3 linked regions of the Drosophila melanogaster genome follow. The protein of the gene in region 2 interacts with the protein of the main gene of each other region in a pairwise test. Each region holds a gene or a part of one and is shown on either strand. Other genes may lie near its edges.

What was found. Proteins that work in one complex are often made in the same cells at the same time.
Region 1: the proteins of CG15482 (region 2) and HP1e interact in a two-hybrid assay, tested with the Drosophila melanogaster proteins (one large-scale study listed by BioGRID).
Region 3: the proteins of CG15482 (region 2) and CG15200 interact in a two-hybrid assay, tested with the Drosophila melanogaster proteins (one large-scale study listed by BioGRID).

The regions. Positions count from the first base shown.
Region 1 is NT_033777.3:9,319,000-9,323,702, reverse strand, and holds HP1e (heterochromatin protein 1e), read right to left. Parts: upstream 1,934-4,703; 5' UTR 1,878-1,933; coding exon 1,353-1,877; 3' UTR 1,342-1,352; downstream 1-1,341.
Region 2 is NT_033779.5:13,209,578-13,214,268, reverse strand, and holds CG15482 (uncharacterized protein), read left to right. Parts: upstream 1-2,454; 5' UTR 2,455-2,487; coding exon 2,488-3,417; 3' UTR 3,418-3,496; downstream 3,497-4,691. Other genes in the region: kek4 (kekkon 4), read left to right, coding at 1-1,260, 1,326-1,612; Pect (phosphoethanolamine cytidylyltransferase), read right to left, coding at 4,041-4,358, 4,424-4,609, 4,670-4,691.
Region 3 is NC_004354.4:11,180,280-11,184,817, reverse strand, and holds CG15200 (uncharacterized protein), read right to left. Parts: upstream 1,888-4,538; 5' UTR 1,763-1,887; coding exon 1,421-1,762; 3' UTR 1,342-1,420; downstream 1-1,341.

The DNA.
Region 1 (4,703 bases), on a different chromosome or scaffold from region 2:
TCGGCTAAGTAGTTGGCTTTCTTGTTGATTATTTGTTGTATGCTAGTTACTTAGGTCTCAGACCCCTGCCACCCCTGCTCACCATCGCAAAAAAAAGGAAGTTATTCCCTTGGCGCCGTCTGCCGGAAATCGTCTTGTATATATTTATGAGTTAAATTTATATTCAAATTAGCCGAGGCCCGAAAAGGGCAAAGTCGACTGCATTATTCATAATTTCGATAATGAGTTCCAGGGTAGCATAAATCTACCCTCATTTCGCACACCTAATCTACATCTTGTGCCATGCCCGCGAGGGGTGAAGCGGGGTGGGAAAACTAAAAACAATGGCAGTCCATTGTTTTGAGGGTCGACCGAGGCACGTAAACAAATACGGTCATCATGCATGTATGTATGTATGCGTGTGTACATTTAACCCTTGACCTCATGCGAAACAAAAGAAAGTGGATAGGTTGGAATGTGGGCAATAGAATGTAGGCGCCAAATTAATTTTTTGTTTCCCCCCTCCTTTTTTTCAATTATTTCTGTGAAAATCGAAAAAAAACATTATTCTTTTTTAACTCACAAAATCTAAAAAAGCACAGCGTGAATAAATGCTTCACTAGTTTCATGGATCAGTTATCTAGCTTAATCTAAGAATATTTTGAATAGAAATAGTATTGAACACCAGTGCAAGCATAACGTCAAAACAAAAGTTGAATCAAGCGTGTGCCTATAAATTCAAATAGGTCTTAGTTTCTTTTACCGCCGACAAAAACTTACCAATATCGAAGAGCAATTGATTGGAGTTGAACTTGCTCGACCGGATATTGCAGTATCAATTCTCGGCAAAAGTGCAGAAGGCTTAAACGAAACCTTTTTGCTGCTATTGTGGCTACGTGCCCACTGGACGCAACTGGGTAGCACCAGAGCCCCCCCCCCCCCCCTCCAAAAAAAAGGACCCAAGTGACGAAAAACAAACACGAATATATAGGGCAAAAGTACGTCCGGCCACCACGCCCCATCAGCCAAAAACAGAGAATAGGTCTTACGACTTTTGGTACTTGCGATGAGACAAGGGAATGGCCACAAAAACGGAATGCAAATATTTTCGCTTCATTTTGGCCGTCGTACATTCCTGGCCCTTGTTTGCCGGCACTGTTGTTGCAATTAAGAGTGTTTACGCTGCCTGTCGGGCAAACACGCCCCAAAAATCACTTAAAACTTGGCATTTTGCCTTCATTATTGTTTGTAATGCTGTGCAAAGGGACACCTTTTATTATAAAAAGTAAAGCAATTTAACCTAACATATAAAATATAAGAAGCTCACACACATATTCATAAGTTTTTTTTTTTTGAAGATCCAGAATTGCAAGTCATGATATATAATTATTTAAATAATCGTGAAAATTGCAATGATTTTCATAGAATTTCAGAACCATCTGCGGTATTTCCACATATGCAATTCCACTTGGCACCACTTGTGGTTGATCGAGATGCCAAAACCTAATTAAAAACGATATTTCACCATTGTTTTTAGCGCCTTTTAGAATCTCTTGTGCAGTGAAACCATGATTAAAAGGACTATCTACTACTAGACATGGATCGATTTTCAGTCGTTTAGCTTTAGTTTCATATTGATTATTCAGCTCTTGACCCCTCTTCAGACTTTTTTGTGATTCAATCGAATCAATAAGTGAATGGCAATCGAGATCTGCTGCCGATTCCCAGGTATTATCTTCATCGCTATAATCCAGCCATTTGACCAAGTATTGTAATTGGCCCATATAATGCCTTCGATCCAAAATCCTCTCTACAATATACTCCTCAGTTTCTTCAAAATCCGTCGAATTTTCAGAGAAATTCGAAACGGTCTCGCCACCATCGGCATCTGAATCCATTTTATATTTTTAAATGTTCAAATAGTATTTTTTTGATGAGTTTTGACAGCAATGTCAGAGCGAAAAACATTTTCGTAACTTTTTATCTACAGTTGCTACTCAACAAAACGTAGTTTTCTGTGCAGACAAGTTTTCTTTTAAATGCTGGTCTACTTTAATATCTTCTTGCCAAAAGAAATAAAATTATGAAAAATATTGTAATGAATTCGTTTAATATCCTGAAGTAGAAAAGTTAGCCATATACTTAATGCCCACAGCTTAGGAAATGCGGCATTAATAATACCAAATTCAATAGCAGAAAGTGAATAAAATTGTTTGCCGGAAATCTATTAGAGATCCCTGGATGCTGGGTAAGTCCTTTCGAACAACAATAAGAATAAGATGAGCCGTCAAAAGGAAAAACTGCGGAAAATATCGTAAAAAATTATGCGTAAACTTGGCGAAAAGTTTGAAATACTCGTAGAACAAAGTTTTTTTCAGTTTGGTTTCGTGTATCACGTTGTTTAATGAACAAAATCTTTTGCCTTTCAAGGCAAACTTTGCAGGCCACAGAAATCGTTGATGAATCACTTGACAATAAATTGGGGAATATGCTTTAAAAATTTGAAAGGTGTAACAACTAGTTATTTTTCTTATTTATCCTTCATTGAAAAACATAAGTTTATGGCTTCCCTCGAAGTCAGTTCCACATTTTATGGCTTTCTTTTGTAGAATGAAGGCGCCACGTACCTGATATTAAATCGGCAAAGTTTTATTACCCGAAATTAAAAGCTCGATTATGCGCGATGACGTGGGACAGATTTGTGGGATTGGGTCGCTTGGTTTGAATACTTTTTAGAGGCCAGCATTTACATGCGAATGTGGCAATCAAACTGTGCAGTGAGTGCTACGTGGCCGGAATAAATCAGGCGACTTATGAAGTAGGATGGAGTTGGAGATTCACGGCAAATACATACATAAAATGTGCGCCTTCGTCAACTGCAGTACAGTGAAGATTCGAAAATCGAAATGGAGTGGAGGGGTGGTCAAGAAACGTGAGGTGCGGTTGTTTACTGAAGCCGTAAATGGGGGGCCGGGCAATTTCCGTGCGGCGAGTTGTGAAATCAGCGTCAAATCGGAAGCACAGGAAGTGGAGAGGTGAGCAGTCGGCGCAAAAGTCAATGTGACTGCCTATGCCATCACTTCCGGCAAATATTGATTGCAGGGGGTGGTGCCTAGAATGGCTAAAAGCCATTTCTGCCTGGGTAAATTCAATGTAATTGATAAGCGAACTCTGCCGGCAGATAGGCGGCAATGAGCATAGTGTCCTGGCACACAGATACCCCATATATGTATGAGCAAACATACTGGCACACAGACACACTAGCAAAAGACACTCAATTAAGAAAACAATGGCGGCTCGGTTTGTGCGGCAATTGAGTTTTTCCTTTTTGCCATCTGCGTTGGCCGTCTTTGTTTAGCTTTCGGCTTTTCCTCTTACCCCGTTCCCAATTTGCCAGTAAGACGCTTAGTCTTGCCACAAGCCCATCGCAAAATGCTCTCTCAGTATTCTCGTATTTGACTAGTACTGCGATATCTTTGCCTTTTAGCCAACTTGAGTTTCTTGGGTTTTTGGCCCCATTCTACTCCTTTATTCCTATCGCACGCTCATTAGCCGCTGTCTTCGAGCCAATTTTACTGTCACTTTTTGCCTCCAGTGCTGGCTGTAGTTCCTTTGTTCGGATTCCTCGCTTGACTTAACACACTTTGGGCTAATTTCCAGTTTTATTTGATCATCATTATAATTATTGTGTGCTTGTTTTTGACAGTATTACGGTCATAATTTTTTTTTTTTTTTTTTTTTTGAGACCAATATTTGATGTTTTTATTATTTGATCAACGCACTGTTACCCATGCGGCAACTTAATTTGATCTGCTTAAATTATTTTATTTTACAATGTGTCTTGGTTACTTAAGACTAACAGATTTTTAATCCTAAAAATGTTAGGGAGAATTATAATAGTTGATATAACATAGTAATTATTATTTATTTGATTATTCTAATGAATTTTAAAACTAAGACTTTCTAGGTCAAAACCAGGTTAGGGAGGTCATGAGGGTGGTGTCGCTTGAGTCTTCTTTTGACTCTAGTCCGAGGGTCAGCATTGACCACAGCTGCAGTTCCTAGCTTCCTTGCTAGGCTGTTGGGGTGTACACGGTCATAATGGAAAGCCAGATTCGTTCGTGCGCTCATAAGTAGGCAATGAATTTTGATTGTAACTTTTATCTCGTGCTGAATATGTTCATATATTCTTACTTATTATCGTTTTACCGTTTAAATGACTTATGCAAATAAATTCACCAATTGACAAGTTTTTCATGAAAACAATACTGTTGTCTATATATTCCCCCTTAAATGAATTCATGTCAAGCAATCAACACTTCTTTAATTAAAACCCATAGAAAGGAACTATCAGATTATCTCACTTAAAGTGTTAAGTTTTTAAGGTCTTTTCCCTACTGAGACCCATTAACACAGCAGCTCCACACACACACACGACGAACAGAAAGTTATCCAACGCCAGTAACAATAATTCATTTATTTCAGCCACACCAAATATACGTACATGAATATTCTGGCATTCCCAGTTGTGCTGGCCAACTATCTCTCTCGTTCTTTGCATTCAGTTTTTGAGGCATTGTAAGCGATTTAAAATCCAGTAGCACAAAATATGCCAACTGGCAGCTGGCACATGGGAGCGCTGTTGGGCCAAAAAGCGACCTCCATGGCCAAAAAGTGCTCTCGCATATAAATGATTTTGATAACGCGCACTGACATTTTGTGAC
Region 2 (4,691 bases):
TCGACCTGCTACCCAATGTGTTCGACTGTCTTTCGAAAGTGCGGGCGATATTCCTGAATGGCAACCTGTTGCAAGCACTTCGCCATGGAGTCTTTCGTAATCTCAAGTATCTGCACAAGATCGAACTTAAGCGCAATCGCTTGGTTAGCATCGATGCCAAGGCCTTTGTGGGAGTACCACTTCTCTCGCAGATCTATCTGGACAACAATGAGCTGACCAAACTGAGAGTGGAGAGTTTCCAGGACTTGACTAAGCTCACAGCATTATCGCTGGTCGAGAATCCTTGGAACTGCACATGCGATCTTCAGATGTTTCGTGACTTCGTTATAGGCATGAACCTGTATACACCGCCCACATCCTGCCATTATCCTTTGCAGTTACGTGGTCGTCTGTGGATCGAGGATCAGCCGGAGGCGTTTGCCTGCAAGCCGAAGATTGTGTATCCAACACTCAGTACTTCCATCAACACTTCCAAGGAGAACGTAACGCTTATATGTCGCGTCCACGGATCTCCCAATACGGTTATTGCCTGGGATTACACCAATCAAGTATACGAATCCCGCTCCAAGCCGGTGAAAAGTCTGCAAAAGCAGCGCATCTACATAGAACTGTTGCGTGAGGATGAATCAAAGATTCGAAAATTCGGACATGATGTTTTTGTGTCACGTCTAACGATAGTTAATGCCCGTAAGAGCGATGAGGGCGTCTATACCTGTCTGGCGGAAAATCCCGGTGGCAAGGATTCGGTTCACATAAGTGTGGTGGTGCAAAAGGATATGGAAAGGATTTCCCTCATCGACAGCAACTTCTTTGCAATAGTCTGCCTTATAGCCATGGGTTTTCTCAGCATGTCGATTCTATTTTCGTTGGTAACATGCCTAATATTTAAGAGATTCAAGCAGTTCCATCCCGGCCAGCACACTTATTTGCAACCCACTAGTTTGCCCGTTCAGTCACCTGGCAGTGAAGAAGCCACCGCCATCAGCGCCCTAAGTTCTGGAGTTATAAGGGAAAGTAAAATAGTGCTGGATCCATTAAGTGCTATCAATGAACCATCAAATAAAAATTACACTTTATTTAAAACATCCAATTCGAATGGCAGCGAGTATATGCACACGAGAAATTATAAAGACGTGAGATTAAACAGCAACACATATACTGAAAATCTAGACAATCAGGCGGAATCCATTTCATCGCGGAATCGGGAGCTCTATTCAAATATAGCTGGTGACCGGGAAAAGGAAGAGCTCAAACAGAAAGGCAATAAAATGCCAAATAAAATTAGTGCTCAAATTTTAACTTATTCTTGTTTTTCTCCTACTTAGATGAGCTCGATAAGGATTCCCGGCAGAGTTCCTTGCAATCAACAGGCTGCTCAAGAAAGAAGGGACAAATCGATGAACTCCAACCGGACCTTTTGCCTTCCACTCAACCTACTGCCTTAAAAAATATTAATGAAACTTTCGGTCCATCAGCGAAAAAAGCAGAAGTTAATCCCCGAAGCAAGTACAATACCAATGTGCAAAAGTACCTAAAGGAGAAGTACGGCAGTGTTAGAATAAAGAATATCAGTACTAAAGAACCCATTACTGGTGTTGATATCTCAATATAATATATTAATGTTTTATAATATGGCATTTCCCACCATACACAGCTGCGAATCCACCGTAAACCCCATGCCATTGAAATTTTAGTCTTTGCCAGGATTTCAATTCATATCCAGCCCTACCTCTCTAAGACCTCCAGGAGATAGATGGACAAAGGAGATCCAGTCAAGAAGAAATATACCTCGCCTTATTTCTGGTAGTAAATTATGTATTTTAAAACGTTACTAATATATAAAAATATTTATTTACACAGTTCTAAGTGTTTTAACCCACGCACTTTAAGTGAAAGGAATGTAATAATAAAGTTTTAAGTGATGCCTTTAAATGAAAAATGTGTAGCTTACTTGAATTAATCTTATATTATCATCGAATTCTAAAAAGCATTTTTAGTAAATCGTTTGATTTTATTTACCTGACCCACTTTTACCGTACTCTACGTTCTATCATCCCTGACCTACCCCGAATTCATTCTTGTGTGTGCTACAATTCCCAACTGCTTCTGGCCGTTTGCTCATGGAGACCCTTTTCGTTTTCCGTTTCAAGTTATCGCTTCTCGGCCTTATGGCTAAGATCAAAGTGTAGTATCTGTTCTTATCAGCTTAACATCTGATAGTTCCTCCATTGGAGGACAACAAATGTTAAACTGATTTTTGGAATCAGACGGAGTGCTAGGGGCTTGCTCCACCTCTGTCGCGGGTTGGCCCGGTATTGCAGTACCGCCGGGATTTCGGCCCAACTGAATAATAAATATTTAACTATTATAAAATCAAAAGGATCTACTTGTCAACACAGTAGACTTTCAAAAGTTGCTAGTATCTGTCTATCTGTCTAGTTTCTTATCAAAATTATGTCGTTTTGGCAAGCCTGATTACCTACCACAATGACTGCGCCATTTACCTCGCGTACCAACCAGGCCGCCGATTCCGGCAAAGATCAATCTCCCATCCATGGATTGAGCCGGAATCGAAAGCGTCAGGAGAGGCGAAAGCAGCGCCTGCAGGAAATGCAAGATTTGCTGTACACGAAACACTTTTCCAACTACAGACTGCCGGCATCGGTGGCCGCGCCAGCTCCCGAGGATCAGCTGCTCCTCAAACTGCAGAACTTCGAATCGCTGACCGAGCAGCCGTCCAGCAGCAGGAAGAGCACTGCGACCACATCTAGCGATTCGCCGTGGAGCCGACTGCGCCTGGTGGCATGCCCATGTCACGGATGCCTATGCTCGGTTGACCCCAGCGCTCTGTTGGGTCACTATTTGAGTGACCATCTGCCGGGAATGGGAGTTCCGTTTTATGAACTGGAAATGGGCAAGCGAGTGTCACTAACATGTCATATTAGTAGCCTGGAAAGAGATGTCAACACCCTGCTGGGGGTCTATGGCTATCGGCGCACTGGCCTTAATCCTCTGAAATGTCACCGAAACACCCATCTGCCAGTGGAGTACCGCCGCTTCTCGCAGCATAGCGCCCTTATGATCTTCGCCTGCCGCACCATGCACTCGGTGCTGTGGGAAAGGAAGCGTGTCAAACACGAAGTCCTGGCCATCTGGGTGGCTACTCCTTTGCACGGCGTGGCCATCACTCTGCGCCTGCTGGTCCAACCTGCCAACCTGCCACGTTACTACACCAGACAGATAAAAGCTCGTCCAATGCTGCCACTGTCGTCGAACCAATCCTGCAGTGAGTTCATCAAGACCGACAGCAACGTGATCCTCATCAGCTTGAATGACCTCCGGCCACTAATGGATTTAGATGTTTGGCAGCAATCGCTAACCGTCGAACTGAAAGTGATTAGCGAGGCAAGTATATAAAACTTCCGGTTTTTTTTTTTTTTGGAATTCGCAATATTTTTGGCCATGTATTTAAGTCTAAGATTAAACAAGGAAACATAAAACTTGAACTCGCACTTACTATATGCATTAATAAATTAGGACAAAGTATCAGAGATTACATTTGATAAAAGCAGCTACTTCCTGATCCAGGCATCCTACTTCCGTTGCTGAATATATATACATACAAGTCGTACAAGGCTTTTCAATTCGGCAACAGTTTGGATAACATGCTATTCGTACAATTTTGTTGTTCCTCACACTTACATCGTACTTTAAAGGGAATTTACAAATTTTGAGCTTACATACATAAAATTTAGATTTTAAATATTCTACGTTAATGTGTTAGAAATATATAATTATGTGTATAACCTTATATCATTAAGGCGCATGTGCAGATATTCTAAAATTGTACTAGAAATCGAGAGAGCGGTGCGCTGAATCCTCAGGCAGCGTCGCTTCGCTTTTTACGCAACAAAAAATTAAAGCGCCATCATCAGGGGACGACATACTAAACAAGACAAACTAAATAAAACAAACTAAAAGAACGCAACTAGAAAATAAAAAACATCCGTCTAGTGTGAGAGGTCGGAATCTGGTTCCGGCTAGCCGGCCTTTTGGGTCTGTTTTTGGCGTTGAAGTGCCTCAAAGGCTTCGATTTCCTTCTTTTCTTTGGCCTGATTGCGACGCTCATATTCCAGTCGGTGCGAGATGATGCGCTCCACGATGCGCTCCGTGGTCATCTCGTTGCCGGAATCGATCAGCTCAAAGATGGCTCGCGTCTTGGGAACGGCATATGGATCGATCTTGCCATTCTCAAGCGCAATGGGTGTGCGTCCATGACAGACAACATCGATTTTGAAGTGCTCAAGCAGCTCTTCAGTGACACAGTAGGGAGCTCCGATTACTACCTCATTGACAAACTGGGGGAAAAAAGAAGTTTTAAAATGAGATAATATTTAAAAAAAAGAATCTATTGCAATCCTACCTTGCAGGCCAAAACACTGAGCACGCGCTCGTGCAGATTCATAATGGGATAGTTGCTGCCCTTGTAGGAGTTCACCACGGGATCTGTGTGCAGGCCAACAATCAGATAGTCACCCAGTTTCTTAGCCTTTTCCAGAAAGTCCAGGTGACCCACATGGAAGAGATCGAAGGCGCCAGCCACATAAACCTGCAAATACCGACAATTATGAATTATACATTATATACATATAATGAGGGCTAAACTTACAATCTTATCGCCGGGATTCGGT
Region 3 (4,538 bases), on a different chromosome or scaffold from region 2:
CTGGTTGCAATTAAAAGGACCCAATTTGTAGCTGGCCGCAAGATGGCAAGCGGGTATTTAGGTCCATACGAAGTCACAGGGGTCAAAGACAATGGCAGATATGACGTTAAAAAAGCAGCAAACGTCGAAGGACCCAATGTCACATCCACCAGCTGTGACAACATGAAGTTGTGGAAGCACATAGCCGAAAATGCAGACCTATTGTCATCCGGGTCGGATGATGATGATCAGGAGGGCCGAATGTAACATGGAGTAAGGCTGAAGGCTGGCAACAACCCGGTTGGCAGCGCTGTTGAGCAGCAACATGATTGTCGGAAATCGAAGTTATCGACAATCAGTCATCGAAGGAACGATCGCAAGGCAGCAGTGGAGTGGAAGTCAGCGTTGCAGTCAGTCGAGTTCTCAGCAGCAGTCGTTCGGTCACAAACTAAGAATACTTTATATAATTACCGCATTTAGAATTAAACTAATAATTAAATTAATAATAAACAATAATAATAAACAATCTTACATATATATTTTTTTAAAAATAAGAATGGTGGAATGGTGGCACTTGGAGGCGTGGGGCAGGTGCCATAGTTGGGCCATAAATACTGCACACACCCATAAAAAGCCAACGCCATCGGCATGCAAAATGCATGGCACTGTGGGTTCGCAAAGGGGGCGTGTTCCGCCATAAACATTTGCATTTGATGGCCTTCAAAAGGAGCGGGAAGTGGCAAGGAGTTGACATAAAATAAGATAATATTCGCAATCAAACGGAGCCGAGGGCTCGCCATAAATTTGTAGCCACGGATGGAGGCGAGCAGAGCAAGGATAATGCATCCGCTAGAGGACATCGCAGGACCTCCACTTAAATGCATTTCACTATGCGAAATTCTGGAACGCCAAATTGAGGACTTTCTTCGTTTTATTATAGAATTCGAAATTGATTGGATATTGTTAAAAAAGAAGCTTTACAATCTTTTTACACATATTTTCTCCTCCAATTTGATTACTTTAAGCATTGTGAGAAAGGCGATGAGTTCAAAGGCTCTTCCGCAGAATTGATACTTTTGTAAGCCATTTACTTATTTTTTTTTTTAGATTTATGTTCGCTATTATTTTGCCTGCAGTCGTTTGTCAAACGACATCTGTGCGAAATTGCAGTGAAGCACAAAACATAAAATCTTTTAATGATTTGTATGCCATAGCTAAATTCAGAAAGGCCATTCCTGGATATTTATTCTATCATTAATATCCTGCGAGATGTTCTGTTTGCAATGTTTCGTATAAAACCCGATTTTAAACAAGACAATATTTCGCAAACCCTTTTTAAAAATAAAAAAAGTATGTATGTTTGAGCTAGCAGAGACCACAATGCAAAATTTATTCCAACGACTTTGTGAACAAGAAGGTCTTGGATGGGACAACTGATTTACTACCAGAAATCGCCCTTAATTCTCCCGGCACAGCTCATATCCAAGCCGTTGTAGGCGCAGAAGGCTTCTCCATTATCGATGCAGGGTTCGCAGGGTCCCTGATCATCTCCAAATCCAGTTCCCATGGCGTGCGGCTGGCCAAAGAAGTTGGGTGGCACTGGAGGACATCTCATCGGCTGGAAATCGCCCATGCTCTGCAGCATCGGTCGAGTTCTTGGTCCACAGGATCCTGGTGCCACGCTGGACGACCACTGGCTACCAACGTTTATGGCATCACCCATTTGGGGAAAGATAGGCGCATTCACTGGCTGTCCGTTCCAGAAGGAAAAACCGTTCGACATGGCTGGATGTTTTATTTCGAAAAAAATCGTGGATGAATTTTATCTCGAAATTTGGTAATTCGAAATTTGTAAACTTTTAAAAAATGCTGCCGAAAATTTATTTTTGATGTGCTCGGTTTGGTGACTTGTACGTTACTGAAAATTTCTCAGCATTGACTTTGAAGGATCTAAAAAAGATTCTCATGGATAGCTTGATGTCTAAAAATTGTTGTAAATTTCAAATACGCCTACTAAGCAACATTAGTTTTTTCGAATTGAGTTTTTCTTCTTTTCTTTTCGCTTCTTTTGCTGTGAAAAATGAATTGCCCACTTTTGGGGGCGATTTTAATTGACAGTTAAGGTCGCGCTTTCTGTTGATTCCTAGCATTTGGCTGCCGCTCCTTGGACAGGACATGGCCGCCTTCGCACTTCGGATTAGATGGCATGGAATCCACGACCTTTTTTCCGCCTCCATCAATCGCTGGCGCCCACTGAGAATGTTAATTAGCAGCTGACCGAGCATTTGGTTATGCCACCCCAAAGGCCCCCACGCCACCCACTTCGATGGCAGTCAATTAGCCGACATCAATGGACACGCCCCCTTCTGGACAGGAGACCGCCCACTTGACGCCCAGGATCATTCGCCGCCCGCTGTTGCGTGCATTTAATGCGCATTAATTGCGCATAATTAAATTTTCTACAATTTTATTATGCACTTTACATGGCAAATGCTCAACATTAAAACCAGATTAAAGTGGCAGAAATAATGGCATACTGATAGTTTTAATCCTATTTTCTGATTGTCTCTTTTATTCGGCAGCGTCTTCGTAATGCTGCGAAATCTGTTCTTTAATGAATAATTAGTAGACATAAAAAGTTCCACGAAAAGGACATTTGCCTTTTCTCTTATTTCGCGGCCATAATTTTCTCTCGTTCTTTTTGCATCTGTCATTTAAGTGAAATCGTGTCAGTTGCGCTGTCATTGTTGTCAATATTATTATAATTATTATTTTTATCATCATCATCATCATCATCATCGCTTCTCTCTTCCGTTTTCGTGTTTGCCAGTTAAATTTCCGAATGAATATTTAATTTCATTTTAATGCGCTTTAAATGCCATAAAACTTAAACACACACATAGATATTTGTATTATATCTGCGAAACCATAATTTTAAAGTTAAACAACAATTGGAAACTTTATGCTTATTGCTAAGTATATATACACACAAGAAATACACTTTTAAAGCTAAATTAAATTCTTCATAAAAGCAGAAAGCACACCTTTAATCCATTTAATGAACATGCACACTTTCTTCCATTTAATCTACTTTGCCCCAACTAATCCTATTTAATTAGCTCCGCAAATAAATATGGACACAAACCAAAACACGTTCATAGAAAATATCTTCATTTGACTTTAATAAAGGCTGACAGATAGAAGGTTATACTCGTATGGTGATAAAATCTTAAGTGAATTTATTTGAATAAAATGAATGAATAAATTACATTTTTAATGAAAATTTTGGGTTCTTAAACCAAATAGATCCTTGATCAAAAATTAGTTCATATTTATCTAAGTCATTTAAATATATATTTGGAAATATAGTCGGAAATTTTCACTGAATACCATTTAAATACTTCTCCAGCCAAATTGTTGACAAAATTTCTAGCATGCGAGAAGTTCAGACTTTATCGCACTCTGGGAAATTTTCTCTACCGAATATTTTCGCTGACGACGAGGAAAAGTCCCAGGCGCAGGATATTTCCTTTTGGCTTTCCTAATGCGGTGCCTAGAATAGTGGCTGGGTAAGGGGGATGGTGCGGTGGCAGCGGGTGGCTTAAGTGGGTGGCAAACGGGGGGCAAATGCTGATACTACTGCTGCTGCGTTGAAGCTCTTCCAGCATTTTACGCATATTTTTGGCGCCGGTAAACTGTTCCGCTGTCTCCTTGTGCACCCAGAAAAATATTAAATATCTCGCCAGTTACTTTTTTTTTCAATTCTCCAATTAAAATTCCTACCACATTTTGAAGCGAACGGAGAGAAATATTAATTTCCATAATTTAAGACCTTTTCAAACGTTTGAAACAAAGATTTCTTTTGTGCATAGCTTCAATATGCCGCATTTTAAAATCGTTTAATATGTAACACATATGAATTAGGAAGTTCCAAGTTCCTACGTTTTTCTTGCTGTGTATTTCGTCGTGACAAAACTGTCTCCATTTGGGGCTCTGGAATGGCTTCCTTGGCGAACGAACGAACGAACGAGTTGAGCTTGTGTTCGCTTGGCTAATTAAACATTTGACAATTATTAATACATTTCAAATGCTTGCAGCGAGAACGAAAAAAGAACTGAGCAAATATTTAACAGCTGCTCAGCGCTCACACTCACGCACCCACACACACACACACACACACACACACACACACACACATGCCCATGTGTGCAGCCATACATATCACCACTCACCACGCCCCCTTTGTGCCAAGTGGGTCGACGCCTTCCGAGTGTTTGCCACTGCGTCATTAAAAGCGGGAAATGGTGGCAGGATCACTGGGAAAAGCCTCAGTTTTCATTACCAATTGGTATTTGAATCCAATGAAATTACAAATTAGTTCAAAGTTACCGCATTAATAGGGAACAAATCTCTTTTCAAACATTTATTTTCAATTGAAAATACTGACGACTACAAATTATACCGCCCTGCGATTTCGTGCAGTGTAAGGCCCAAGAGAGGTAAGTTTAGAGAATGGATGACGGCTTTTCACTTCTGTTTTTATTTTCATCGCATTCCTA